Linked DNA regions of Oryctolagus cuniculus. The main gene of each other region encodes a partner of the protein of the gene in region 2 in a complex. Links are inferred from orthologs where the notes say so. Each region holds a gene or a part of one and is shown on either strand. Other genes may lie near its edges.

The links. Proteins that work in one complex are often made in the same cells at the same time.
Region 1: the proteins of ARMC8 (region 2) and glucose-induced degradation protein 4 homolog are in contact, whole or in part, in a cryo-EM structure (PDB 7NSC), measured with the Homo sapiens proteins. The link is inferred for Oryctolagus cuniculus from reciprocal best matches to the Homo sapiens genes ARMC8 and GID4. Residues at the interface, in NP_001350870.1 of Homo sapiens: Glu309, Pro310, Asp311, Val312, Asn371, Glu373, Arg406, His409, Arg413, Ser414, Val415, Gln416, Arg419, Thr420, Gln423, Asp424, Val444, Ser448, Cys451, Asn452, Leu455, Phe457, Ala483, Val486, Asn487, Trp490, Met493, Asn494, Phe497, Gln498; in NP_076957.3 of Homo sapiens: Leu104, Ile105, Pro106, Pro107, Pro108, Pro109, Ile110, Gln114, Pro115, Gly116, Val117, Ala118, Thr119, Gly125, Gln146, His147, Tyr154, Cys156, Tyr158, Phe174, Glu176, Phe239, Val241, Pro242, His244, His292, Ser293, Ala294, Pro295, Ile296.
Region 3: the proteins of ARMC8 (region 2) and GID8 are in contact, whole or in part, in a cryo-EM structure (PDB 7NSC), measured with the Homo sapiens proteins. The link is inferred for Oryctolagus cuniculus from reciprocal best matches to the Homo sapiens genes ARMC8 and GID8. Residues at the interface, in NP_001350870.1 of Homo sapiens: Asn45, Val47, Ile48, Gly49, Asn50, Val85, Ser89, Met92, Arg127, Arg130, Arg161, Tyr162, Tyr166, Leu200, Ser201, Tyr202; in NP_060366.1 of Homo sapiens: Ile83, Ala84, Asn87, His90, Pro91, Glu92, Leu94, Asp95, Thr96, Tyr101, Tyr183, Glu184, Asn185.

The regions. Positions count from the first base shown.
Region 1 is NC_091448.1:66,470,256-66,473,816, forward strand, and holds part of glucose-induced degradation protein 4 homolog, read right to left. Parts: intron 271-3,561; coding exon 163-270; intron 1-162.
Region 2 is NC_091435.1:143,472,134-143,475,694, forward strand, and holds part of ARMC8 (armadillo repeat-containing protein 8), read right to left. Parts: intron 1,690-3,561; coding exon 1,489-1,689; intron 1-1,488. UniProt on the Homo sapiens protein: Component of the CTLH E3 ubiquitin-protein ligase complex that selectively accepts ubiquitin from UBE2H and mediates ubiquitination and subsequent proteasomal degradation of the transcription factor HBP1.
Region 3 is NC_091442.1:703,260-706,665, forward strand, and holds the end of GID8 (glucose-induced degradation protein 8 homolog), read right to left. Parts: intron 3,058-3,406; coding exon 2,861-3,057; intron 2,206-2,860; coding exon 2,008-2,205; intron 1,192-2,007; coding exon 1,018-1,191; 3' UTR 518-1,017; downstream 1-517. UniProt on the Homo sapiens protein: Core component of the CTLH E3 ubiquitin-protein ligase complex that selectively accepts ubiquitin from UBE2H and mediates ubiquitination and subsequent proteasomal degradation of the transcription factor HBP1.

The sequences.
Region 1 (3,561 bases), on a different chromosome or scaffold from region 2:
TTCTGAAGAGAGGCTGGCAGGACCCGGGGCAGCGGGCTCAGCTGTTCTGGGACCTCGTGGCCACTGGAGTGGAGGGAGCTCTGTCCTTGGCAGCCACACAATGGGGAGTCTGGAGTTCTCAGGGTGTGCCGGCGGTGCCGGGGACGCCGGAGCGCGACTCACCCAGTGTTTCCGGTCCACATCTTCGTCCGCATCCCACTTGCGAGTTAGGAAAGGGTGCTTTTTGCTGATTATTTCTCCTTCAAAGAAGGTCGTGAGGGTCGGATACTCCTACGGTGGAAGCCAGACATGAGGACAGGGGTTGCCTGAGCCTCTCACCCTTCCCACCAGGGAACCGACCCTGCCGGTGCGGCTTCCCAGCGCTCAGACACGCGGGCCGCGCCCACTCACCGCCTGTGCGGGAAACCCAGCTCACAACGTGCACGGCCGTCTCCCCCCGGCCAGAGCAGCCCACTGCTCCCCGGCCCGGCTCAGCTCAGCCCTGTGGCCCCTCCGGTCCAGCTCTCTGGAGAGCAGCACACTGCTGCCGGGCCCGGCTCAGCTCTCCGCCCCCGCAACCCAGGGGGTACACCTTCTGGCAGACACCCCCACCCCGGGGGCCAGATCTACCAGGGCTACCGTGTTCATTTTGTCGTATGCAGCGTGAAACCGTGACCCTGAAGCATCCCAGTGCTGATAACTGAGCTGTCCCATGCTTAATTAGCCTTTGAAGTGCTTTGTAGAACACATAATTTTATTTTGCTATTTGTTCATGTGCTAATGAACAGGCATGAACGATTTGGGGGAAAAATCACCCTAAGAGAAAGCTCATTAAAAAAAAAATCTGCCATTTCTCTGCATTTGTCAATGCCACCCACCTAAAAAACCAAACCAGCCCCGGGCCTGGCTGGCCACGCCCCTGCAGCTCCTCAGGAGTGGGCTGCCCGAGATTCCGGCACGGGAACTGCAGGCGAGGGCCCCAGGACCACAGAGGTGCGGCCATGTCTCCCCTCCGGGCCCCACAGAAGCCTCTCTGATCCTGCACAAACACAGCTCAGGACCTGCCAGGGAGCCGCTGCCACCATGCAGCCCCCGGCTCGGGGCTTCCAGGACACAGGACGCCACCGCCGGGCCTCAGCTGGCTGACAAGGCCTGCTCTGGGAGGACACCCAGCGCCAGGGGCTCTGAGAGTGCACCCTGCTTTCTTCTGAGAGGCTCACTGGTGTCTTTATTCCAAAGGCAGAGAGAGAGAGAGAGAGAGAGAGAGAGAGAGAGAGAGTGAGTCTTCCATCCACTGGCTCACTCCCCAAATGGCCACAATAGCCAGGGCTGGGCCAGGCTGAAGCCAGGAGCCAGGAACTTCTTCCTGGTCTCCCATGTGGGTGCAGGGGCCCAAGGACTTGGGTCATCTTCTACTGCTTTCCCGGGGCATAGCAGAGAGCTGGATGGGAAGTAGAGCAGCTGGGACTTGAACTGGTGCCCATATGTGATGGCGGCACTGCAGGCGGCGGTTTTACCCGCTTTGCCAGAGCGCTGGCCCCCGACCAGTGATTCTGCATGGATGTCTCTCTTCCAAACTCTTCAGGTAGTGTTTTAACAGGTGACCCCACCCCAGGTCCTCCAAACTCTACAATTAAACAATGCACAGAAGTCACCAGAAGGATAGACAGTGTCCCTCCATCCATGCAGTGAACCAAGCTTGGATCAGAGTATTTAACCAAAACACAACACAATCACAGCACTGCTGAACAAGTACAGATTTTTTTTTTTTTGGTGACTGTTTCCTAAACAATACAACTATCCCCACAGCACTGCGTGGCACTGGGTGCACGCCATCTTAGAGGGAACTTGGCGCATACAGCAAGAGGCACCAGGGCTTGGAGCATCCGCGGATGTCGGCTGCTGCAGTGCCCGTGGGTACCAGTGGACGACTGTACTTCTTGGGTCAGGCCCTGGAAATTCAAGCAGTGGACTCCAGCCAAACTGGGGATGACTGACAGAGCCAAGGAGAGCCCGCGGCAGCACCAGGAGTGCTGTGGCCAACCCCATCCCCCAGGCAGGCTTTGCCTGCCACGGGCAGACGCTGAGGTCGCCCAAGCCACGGGCTCCGGGCTCACCCGGAAGGGGCAGTGGCTGCCTGGCCTCCCCCGCAGACCCGGCTTGTCAGGGAGGGGCGCTGAGTGAGCTGATATGTCAAGGAGAACTCCATTCCCTGTCCTGCGGAGGAGCCGGCACCCGTGACGCAGTAGTCTCCGGTGGGTTTGGTTGCTGTGTGGTTCGGGTGGTCAGTCTCGCTGCTTTGAGCAAGACTGGCACAACCTCAGCTGCAGCTTCCAATCCCACCCCTGACCATGACCCCTCCCACAAGGCGGGCTCCAGGAAAGCGCTCCCCCCCCAAACGTAGGCATAGCACACTATTCCTTACAGCTTTGGGTTTTACTTTCTAGGGGACACATAAACACACTTTAAGACATAATTTATCTCCCAGTTAAAAATTTTCTGGGGGCCGGCACTGTGGCGTAGCAGGTAAAAGCTGCCGTTACAGCACCAGTTCCAGTCTTGACTGCTCCACTTACGATCCAGCTCTCTGCTATGGCCTGGGAAAGCAGTAGAAGATGGCTCAAGTGCTTGGGCCCCTGCACCCACGTGGGAGACCTGGAAGAAGCCCCTGGCTTCAGATCGGCACAGCTCTGACCGCTGGGTTTGATACCCGGTTCCAACTCCTGACTCCAGCTTCTGGCTAATGTAGACCTTGGCGGGCAGCAAGGGATACACTCAGGTGACGGGGTCCCTGCCACCCACTGGGAAGCCTTGGATGGTGCTCCTGCCTCCTACTGCTGCCGTCCCGGGCTCAGCTGCTGCAGGCACTCGGGGAGTGAGCCAAGGGATGGAAGCTTTCTCTCGTTCTCTCAAAAAATAAAAAAACTATACACACACACACATATTTAAAGTTGGTTCAAAGAATGTAAAACACTTTACTCTTACACAGCAGACTGGAAACCAGTCACTTTCATGGTTCCAGTGAACTATGGGGTTTAAAGAACTTCAGGGACCAGCGCTGTGGCGTAGTAGGCTATCCTCCGCCTGTGGTGTTGGCATCCCATATGGGCACCGGTTCTAGTCCCGGTCGCTCCTCTTCCAGTCCAGCTCTCTGCTGTGGCCCGGGAGTGCAGTGCAGTATGGCCCAAGCACTTGGACCCTGCACCCGCATGGGAGACCAGGAGGAAGCACCTGGCTCCCTGCTTCCGATCGGTGCAGCGTGCCGGCCGTAGCAGCCATTTGGGGGGTGAACCAATGGAAGGAAGAGCTTTCTCTCTGTCTCTCTCTCTGTCTAACTCTATCTGTCAAAAAAACAAAAAACAAACAAAAAAACCCCACTTGTGACACCCACATCCCATACTGGGTGCGGGGGCCTGGATTCAGCTCCTGACTCTGCTTTTGATTCCAGCTTCCTGCTGCACACCCTGGGAGAAGGCCGGCGATGGCTCAGACACCTGAGTTTCCGCCACCCACGCGGTGCACCTGGATTGAGTTCTTGGCTCTCACCCTCGGCCTGGCTCAGCCCCAGATACTGTGGGCATT
Region 2 (3,561 bases):
ATGGCCAGAGGGAAAACAGACAAGGCAACTGGTTCAATGTAACTTATCATCTCTACTACAACAACAACACTATCCGGGGAAGTGCAGACACAACTTTAGTACACAGAAGTGTACCCAATTAATGCAAACATCAACGAAGGTGATTTTTAGGTCCCTTCTAACAGAAGAGACATTTCCTTAATAGTCTGTTTTCTCTTCAACATTAAACGCCAAATGAACAACTGCCTTCAGAATGAGAATTTTGAAACTCAGAATTCAGAAGCAAACAGGCTAAGCAGCAAGAAGTTGAAAGGAACATCGACCTGCTCTAAGAAAGCTAAATTTTCAAAAACCATAATTTAGGAGCCGATGCTGTGGCATAGCAGGTAAAGCTGCCACCGCAGTGCCAGCATCCCAAATGGGCACCAGTTGGAGTCCCAGGTGCTCCACACCCTATCCAGCTCTCTGCTATGCCTGGTAAAGCAGTGGAAGATGGCCCAAGCCCTTGGGTCCCTGCACCTGAGTGGGAGACCCGGAAGAAGCTCCTGGCTCCTGGCTGTGGACTGGCATAGCTCCGGCAGTTGCGGCCAACTGGGGAGTGAACCAGCGGATGGAAGACCCTCCCCCTCACCCCCCGCCTCTCCTTCTCTCTGTGTGTAACTCTTTTCAAATAAATAAATAAATCTTAAAAGAAAAAGCATAATTTAATCATTGACAGTCCTAACCCAGAGTTTAAATGGTAATACTATGAAACTCAATAAAGAAGACAGGAATAGATTGAAAAAAAATTTTTTTGATGGAGAGTAAAATAAGGTCACTCAGTCACCACCTGTAACAGAAGATTACAGATGCTGAGCCACTGGCTGAGATGCCCAAGTACCTTGGGAGTGCCTGAGTTAGAGAACTAGCCTGCTTTCCATTCCAGTTTCCTGCTTATGAACACCTTGGGAGGCAGCTGTTTATGGCTCAAGTAATTGAGTCTCTGCCACTGGTATGGGAGACCTGGATTGAGTTTCAGGCTCCTGACCTTGGCCTGATTCAACCCTGGCTATTGTGGACATACAGGGGAGTGAACCAGCAGCTGGGAGTCGTCTTTCAAATTAACAAATTAAAAAAAAAAAAAAAAAAAGATTACCCTTAACATAAAGCATGAGAATACATCAACAGAAAAATGATTCTGTGACCTTGAATAGGATTAGATGATGTTGATATAATTTCAATACCCAGCTTAAAGACTGTGCTATTTGGAGGGTTTAAGCTGGGAGTTAAGTTTACTATTTTCTTCTTTCCTGCTTATCTGCTTAGTAAAAAAATTCCCAACTATAAATATATTAAACATATTTGAATTAAAAAACTCACAAAGCAATGTAATCCATGTAACCAAAGATAAATGACTCCTCTATTTAAAATGTTTTTGAGCTGTAATGATCAATTGGTTCAAAGTTGTGAGCAGTAAGAAAAACTTATTAAAAATCCTCTTGAACTACTGAAAAGGAAAAGCAAACATACCCTTTTAATATCAGTGATGGCACTCACTGAGCTGGGATACTTGAAATAATCAGCAAGCATGGCAATGAGGTGGTCAGTTATGCTAGCGATTCTCTGCAGCTCAACATCTGGCTCAATCAGATAGGCGAGTGTTTCAGCTCCTTCAACTCTCTCCTCTAGCAATCTCTCCTTACTGCACATTCGAACCAAACAAGGCAATGTCTGAAAGGCAGTGAGATCAGTTATTTGCTTTCTGGTAAAGGTAGAATCTTGAAGAGTATATTAAGACTGAATCAACTCAATGGCTTTCACTGGGAGTCATGTTTGTATTTCTTCTATTGATTCTCAATAATAAAAGATTTTTCAAAAAGCAAAAACAAAATTCAGTACAGATTAATCATCTGTGCTAGCACTCTAAACGACTCATACATTCAACTATATGAACAGAATCTCTTAGTTAGGCTTTTGTGATCAGTTCAGATTGCACCTTATCGAACAACCTTTTAAAAGACATTTAAGAATCCCTAACAGATCATATCTGATGGTTCTGCCCCATCTTTGTGTTTATTTACCTAAAAGAGATCCAGCAATTGAACCAGGAATGATTTTGCCCAAAAAGTATGGAATCTTTTCCTTAGTGAGTAATATGGTTGGGATGACTTTTTTAGTTTGAGAATTAGTATCTATAGTTGCAAAAACAAAACACAGCTTTAACAATTCAGTACTTTTACCATTTCTCATATTCCACATGTTATTCTAAAATGTGAGTGACATGCATTGATCACAGCTGCTAGGTTTTTCAAAGAACTTGCTGGAGTGATTACGGTATCCAATAATCCAATTTCTCTCCTGAGGTCCTTCAAACATCTTGGCACTAGTCCTGGTAATTTATCTATATTAGTTTCTGAATAACAACATCTCATGTATTTACTATTTTTAAGGCTTTAAGGAATAATGTGGAAGTAGATATTAAAATTTTACAACAGGAAGCTTTCCTCAACTACCACCATAATCTCTACCACAAAATTTAAACTTTATTTCTCACTATTGATTTCCTATTAGGCTAGTTCAGGTTTTACAACTCAATCTTAGCTTTGAAGGGGGAGGTCCTACTCTCTTGGTCCTAACATTCCTAGTTACTAATAATTATCAACACCATAAATTCATGTTTTACTGAATGTACTGCCCTCAAGTACATCATAAAGAAGATACTACCAACCCATTTTACCAACGAGGAAGAAAGGAGGGCTAAAGAAGTAAATAAGCCAGGCTCACTTGTATGAAAGACGTTAACACTCAATGCAGAGCTGCTTATTTAGGGAATTCCTTAAATCTCATTAAATGAACTGACTCTATCAGAGACTGAAGTGATCTTCTCAAGGCTCTCTTATCTTTTACCTTAACTCACATTCATAAAATGACACAAGATCAATGCATTTATACTTGTTTTGTTCTTTATAGCTATGAGACATCTTAATGTAAATTATTTAATTTATAGTTATCCTTATTATAACCCTAGGGGATAGCTGAGCAGGAATTACTGCCCACATTTTCATAATGAAGAATCTGGAGCCACCAAAAGAATTGGGCATCAAGCAGGTCAGTGGTGGCAGTGCTAAAACCAGAATCCTGGTCTCAGGACGTTTACGACTGGTCTCTTCTCCAGGTTTTCTCAGTTTAGACAGCATCTGACATACCACAATAATAATAATAATAGTTTTCAAGTCTATCTATTAAGTCTCACCACTGGCTCTGAGAGTGACATAGTCTTCATATGTAGAGCTAGTAAAGTGCCTACAAAACTGCACTTCAAACATAATGAAAATTATAGATTATAATATATTTTCTACTTCACTTGAATTTCATATACTTTCAGATTTCCGTTTTCTAATTATCATAAAATGAAAAAGTTGTGATAAGAAACAAATCATTTTGCTTTACTATTGAAAAACACATCGAAAATTAACTTTTAAAAACTGTAAAGCAAGCACATTTTATGCCATGTACACATCTATAATGATAAATACATAAAAAGTGAGAATGCTATTATACATACTCAATACTTATAGAACTGTAATTCCCATGTTTCCAGGG
Region 3 (3,406 bases), on a different chromosome or scaffold from region 2:
CCTGGTGCCGTGCGAAGATGGCAGCAGACACCTCACCACCAGTGCCCGAGGGATGCTGGCCCTCGCCAGTCAGGAGCGGCTTGGCTGCCGGCAGCACTTCTCTCCAGCACGCCAGGGCACGCAGGGGCAGCCAGCAGCAAGCACCCGAGGACGGTCCCGGTATGGCGCTGCCACCTCCGCCAGACACACGGTGCCTCGGCGGTTCTGGGCCCACCCACAACCGGCTTCCAGCACTGCTCCAGCGAGGTCCACTCCAGGGGTCCACAGGGCTGTGCTCTGGGCTGCACGAGCCCCACCTCGCGCCTGTGAGCAGGCACCAGTGGGTGCCCGGAGGGGGACACTTGCCCAGCTGGGGACAGCGAGGCGGGAGCTGAGAGGCCGGCACCGGTGCTGCAGTAGGGGGCACTTGGGCTGCTCCCGTCAGGGCCGGGGCCCCCCGCAGGTCCTGGGTGACACCACCGTCACCACCACAGTGTTCTGCACTCCCGTGAGGCCCCAAAGACAAAAGGCTGCGTGAGATGATTCAAACTTTTATTTCCAACAGAACTGCCTGGCAGAGACGGCTCGCCGGTCCACTAGGAACGCCTCTCACCACACACAGCACCAAAATATATATATTTAAAAAACTGAAACCACAGCCCAGCCCTCACACACACCCGGGCCGAACTCAAGACCCTCACGCGGAGTCACCTTAGAATTAGGATTTACAAATTTATATATTCTTTCCTATGAAAAAACAGAGAAACAAACAAAGGAAGGAAAACTTGCAGACGCGGGCCGGGTGAGGCAGGAGCCCCGAGGGCCGGGTGGCCTCCAGGCCCGCACACGGCCGCGCAGGGCCCAGCGCCGTCGGCTGAGGGTCCCCGGGAAGCGGCACAGGGCAGGCCGAGCCCGGCGCCTCTCCGCAGCCCTGCAGGTGGCGTCCTCCCGCCCCGAGGGCCGCGCTTCCCTTTAGAAAGACGCTGGGTCGGAGAACAGCACGGGGCCGAGGGGTGGCTCCCGCGGCGTGGCCGGGCCCTACTTGGGCTCCTCGATCACGCCCTTGCTGAGGTCTGTCATTTTGGGGTACTTCACTTTCTTCTGGTCCAACTCATTCTGAGCCCAGAGTAGCAGCTTCAGCAGCTTCGCCAGCTTGGGCGTCGACTCCCGATTCTCGTAGTCGAGCACCGCCTGGTTGACTTCACTCCACACCTGGAAGAGGAACACAGCCGTGTGGCCCGCACATGCGCGCAGGGGCTGTGCGCCGCCCACGACAAGCGTTTGCTCCCTGACCGTGAGCCACTTGTGGGACCGTGAGGGCACCAGCTGGGCGTCACGTCGCCCCTGCCATGACAGGTCCGTGCCAGGAGCTTCGGGAGGGGCAGCCGGGGCCGGCGCTGTGGTGCAGCAGGCTAAGCCTTTGCCTGCAGGGCCGGCCGGCATCCCACGTGGGTGCTGCTTCGAGGTCCGGCTGCTGCACTCCCAGTCCCGCCCCCTGCTGTGGCCTGGGAAAGCAGGAGACGGCCCGAGCGCTCGGGCCCTGCACCCACGTGGGAGACCAGGATGGCATTCTAGACTGCTGGCCTCAGCCGGGCCCAGCCCGGGCCGTTGTGGCCACTGTGGAGTGACCCGGTGCTCGGAAGACCTCCATCTTTCTCTGTCACTCTGCCTCTCAAATATTACAGAAGTCAGCCTCAGCGAAACACGTCAGGTGGACCGTCGGGGATGGGCGGTCATTCCAGGCCAGGACAGGGAGGACAGAGCCCAGGAAAGGAGCCGGGGCACCAGCGGGGACACGGAGTGGCCGGGAGGGACGTTCCAGAGACACCGACCTCTTTCTGGGAGGCCCCGACACGTGAAGAAGGCGTAGACGGACAAGCAGCAGCACAGGAGCCTGAACGGCGCCGGCCCGGCTGCAGCGGGAGGGCAGGTGCAGACACAGGCGGGCTCACCGCCGCAACGCGTCCCGGCCAGCGGCCCTGCCCGGCTCCTAGGGCGGCCCCTCCCCTCCGCGCCCCCCCGCCCTACCTTCTGCCTCTGCATCGTGTGCAGCAGGTCCCCGAAGGGCGACTCCTCGGGGCTGTCGAAGGCCAGCAGGGCCAGCGTGCGCTCCATCTCCGTGAGGCACTCCCTGCTCTCCTCGCCCTGCTCCGCCAGCTGCGTCTGCGCGAACTCCAGGGCGGCCTCCGTCTCGCGCTGGCGGATCAGCTCGATCAGGTGCTGTTGCTGCGTGATGGCAAGAGAGCCGGGCTCAGCAGCACCCCGCAGGGCTCGGCCCGGCTGTGGAACAGCGGGCGAAGACCAGGGCCCGCAGGGCTCGGTGCCCGTCAGGCGCCCGTCTCGGCCTGGCTGTGGAACAGCGGGTGAAGACCAGGGCTCAGCAGCACCCCGCGGGGCTCGGCGCCCGTCAGGCGCCCGTCTCGGCCCGGCTGCGGAACAGTGAACAGCGGGCGAAGCCGCCGCCAGCAGTGCCGAAGTCCCTTATGGGTGCTGACTTGGGTCCCGGCCACTCCACTTCCGATCCAGCTCCCTGCTCTGGCCTGGGGAGCAGTGGCAGATGCCCGACTGCTGGCCCTGCCCCGCGTGGGAGACTGCACAAGCCCCTGGCTCCCGGCTTCGGATCAGCCCAGCTCCGGCTGTTGTGGCCATTTGGGGAGTGAACCAGCGGATGGAAGACCTCTCTCTCTCTCTCTGCCTCTTTGTACTCAGCCTTTCAAATAAGCACGTGTATATAAAAAAAAAGATCCCATTTAAAAAAAACCCGTCTCAAAGGAAAGGCCTGTCCCCCACGCGAGTTTTCACATCAGCATTTCAACAGGAGACACAGCTTCCGGGGGGGACGGGGAGCAGGCACCCCCCGCCCGCCCGCGCGCCCGCTCACCTGCAGGTGGAAGTACAGGTACCGGTTGGTGTCCAGGAGCTCGGGGTGCAGGCTGTTGATGAGCGCGATGGCCTCCTGAATCTGCCCTTTCAGGATCATCTCCCGGATCTTGATCCGCTCGTCCAGGGTTTCCAGATCCACGCTCGGCTCGATTCCAGATTCCACGCGGAATTTCTCCGCTGCTTCCTTAAAGCCCTCTGGAAAGGAAAACCGTCCTCACTGCTGGCAAAGCCCACAGGGCGCCGGCGGGGGCTCTGCACGTGGGGCTCTGTGCACATGGGGCTCTGTGCACGTGGGGGCTGCACGTGGGGCTCTGTGCACGTGGGGCTGTGCACATGGGGGCTCTATGCACATGGGGGCTGTGCACGGGGGGCTCTGTGCACATGGGGGCTGTGCACATGGGGGCTCTGTGCACGTGGGGGTTCTGTGCACGTGGGCTCTGTGCACGTGGGGGCTCTGTGCACATGGGGGCTGTGCACGGGGGGCTCTGTGCACATGGGGGCTGTGCACATGGGGGCTCTGTGCATGTGGGGGCTGTGCACGTGG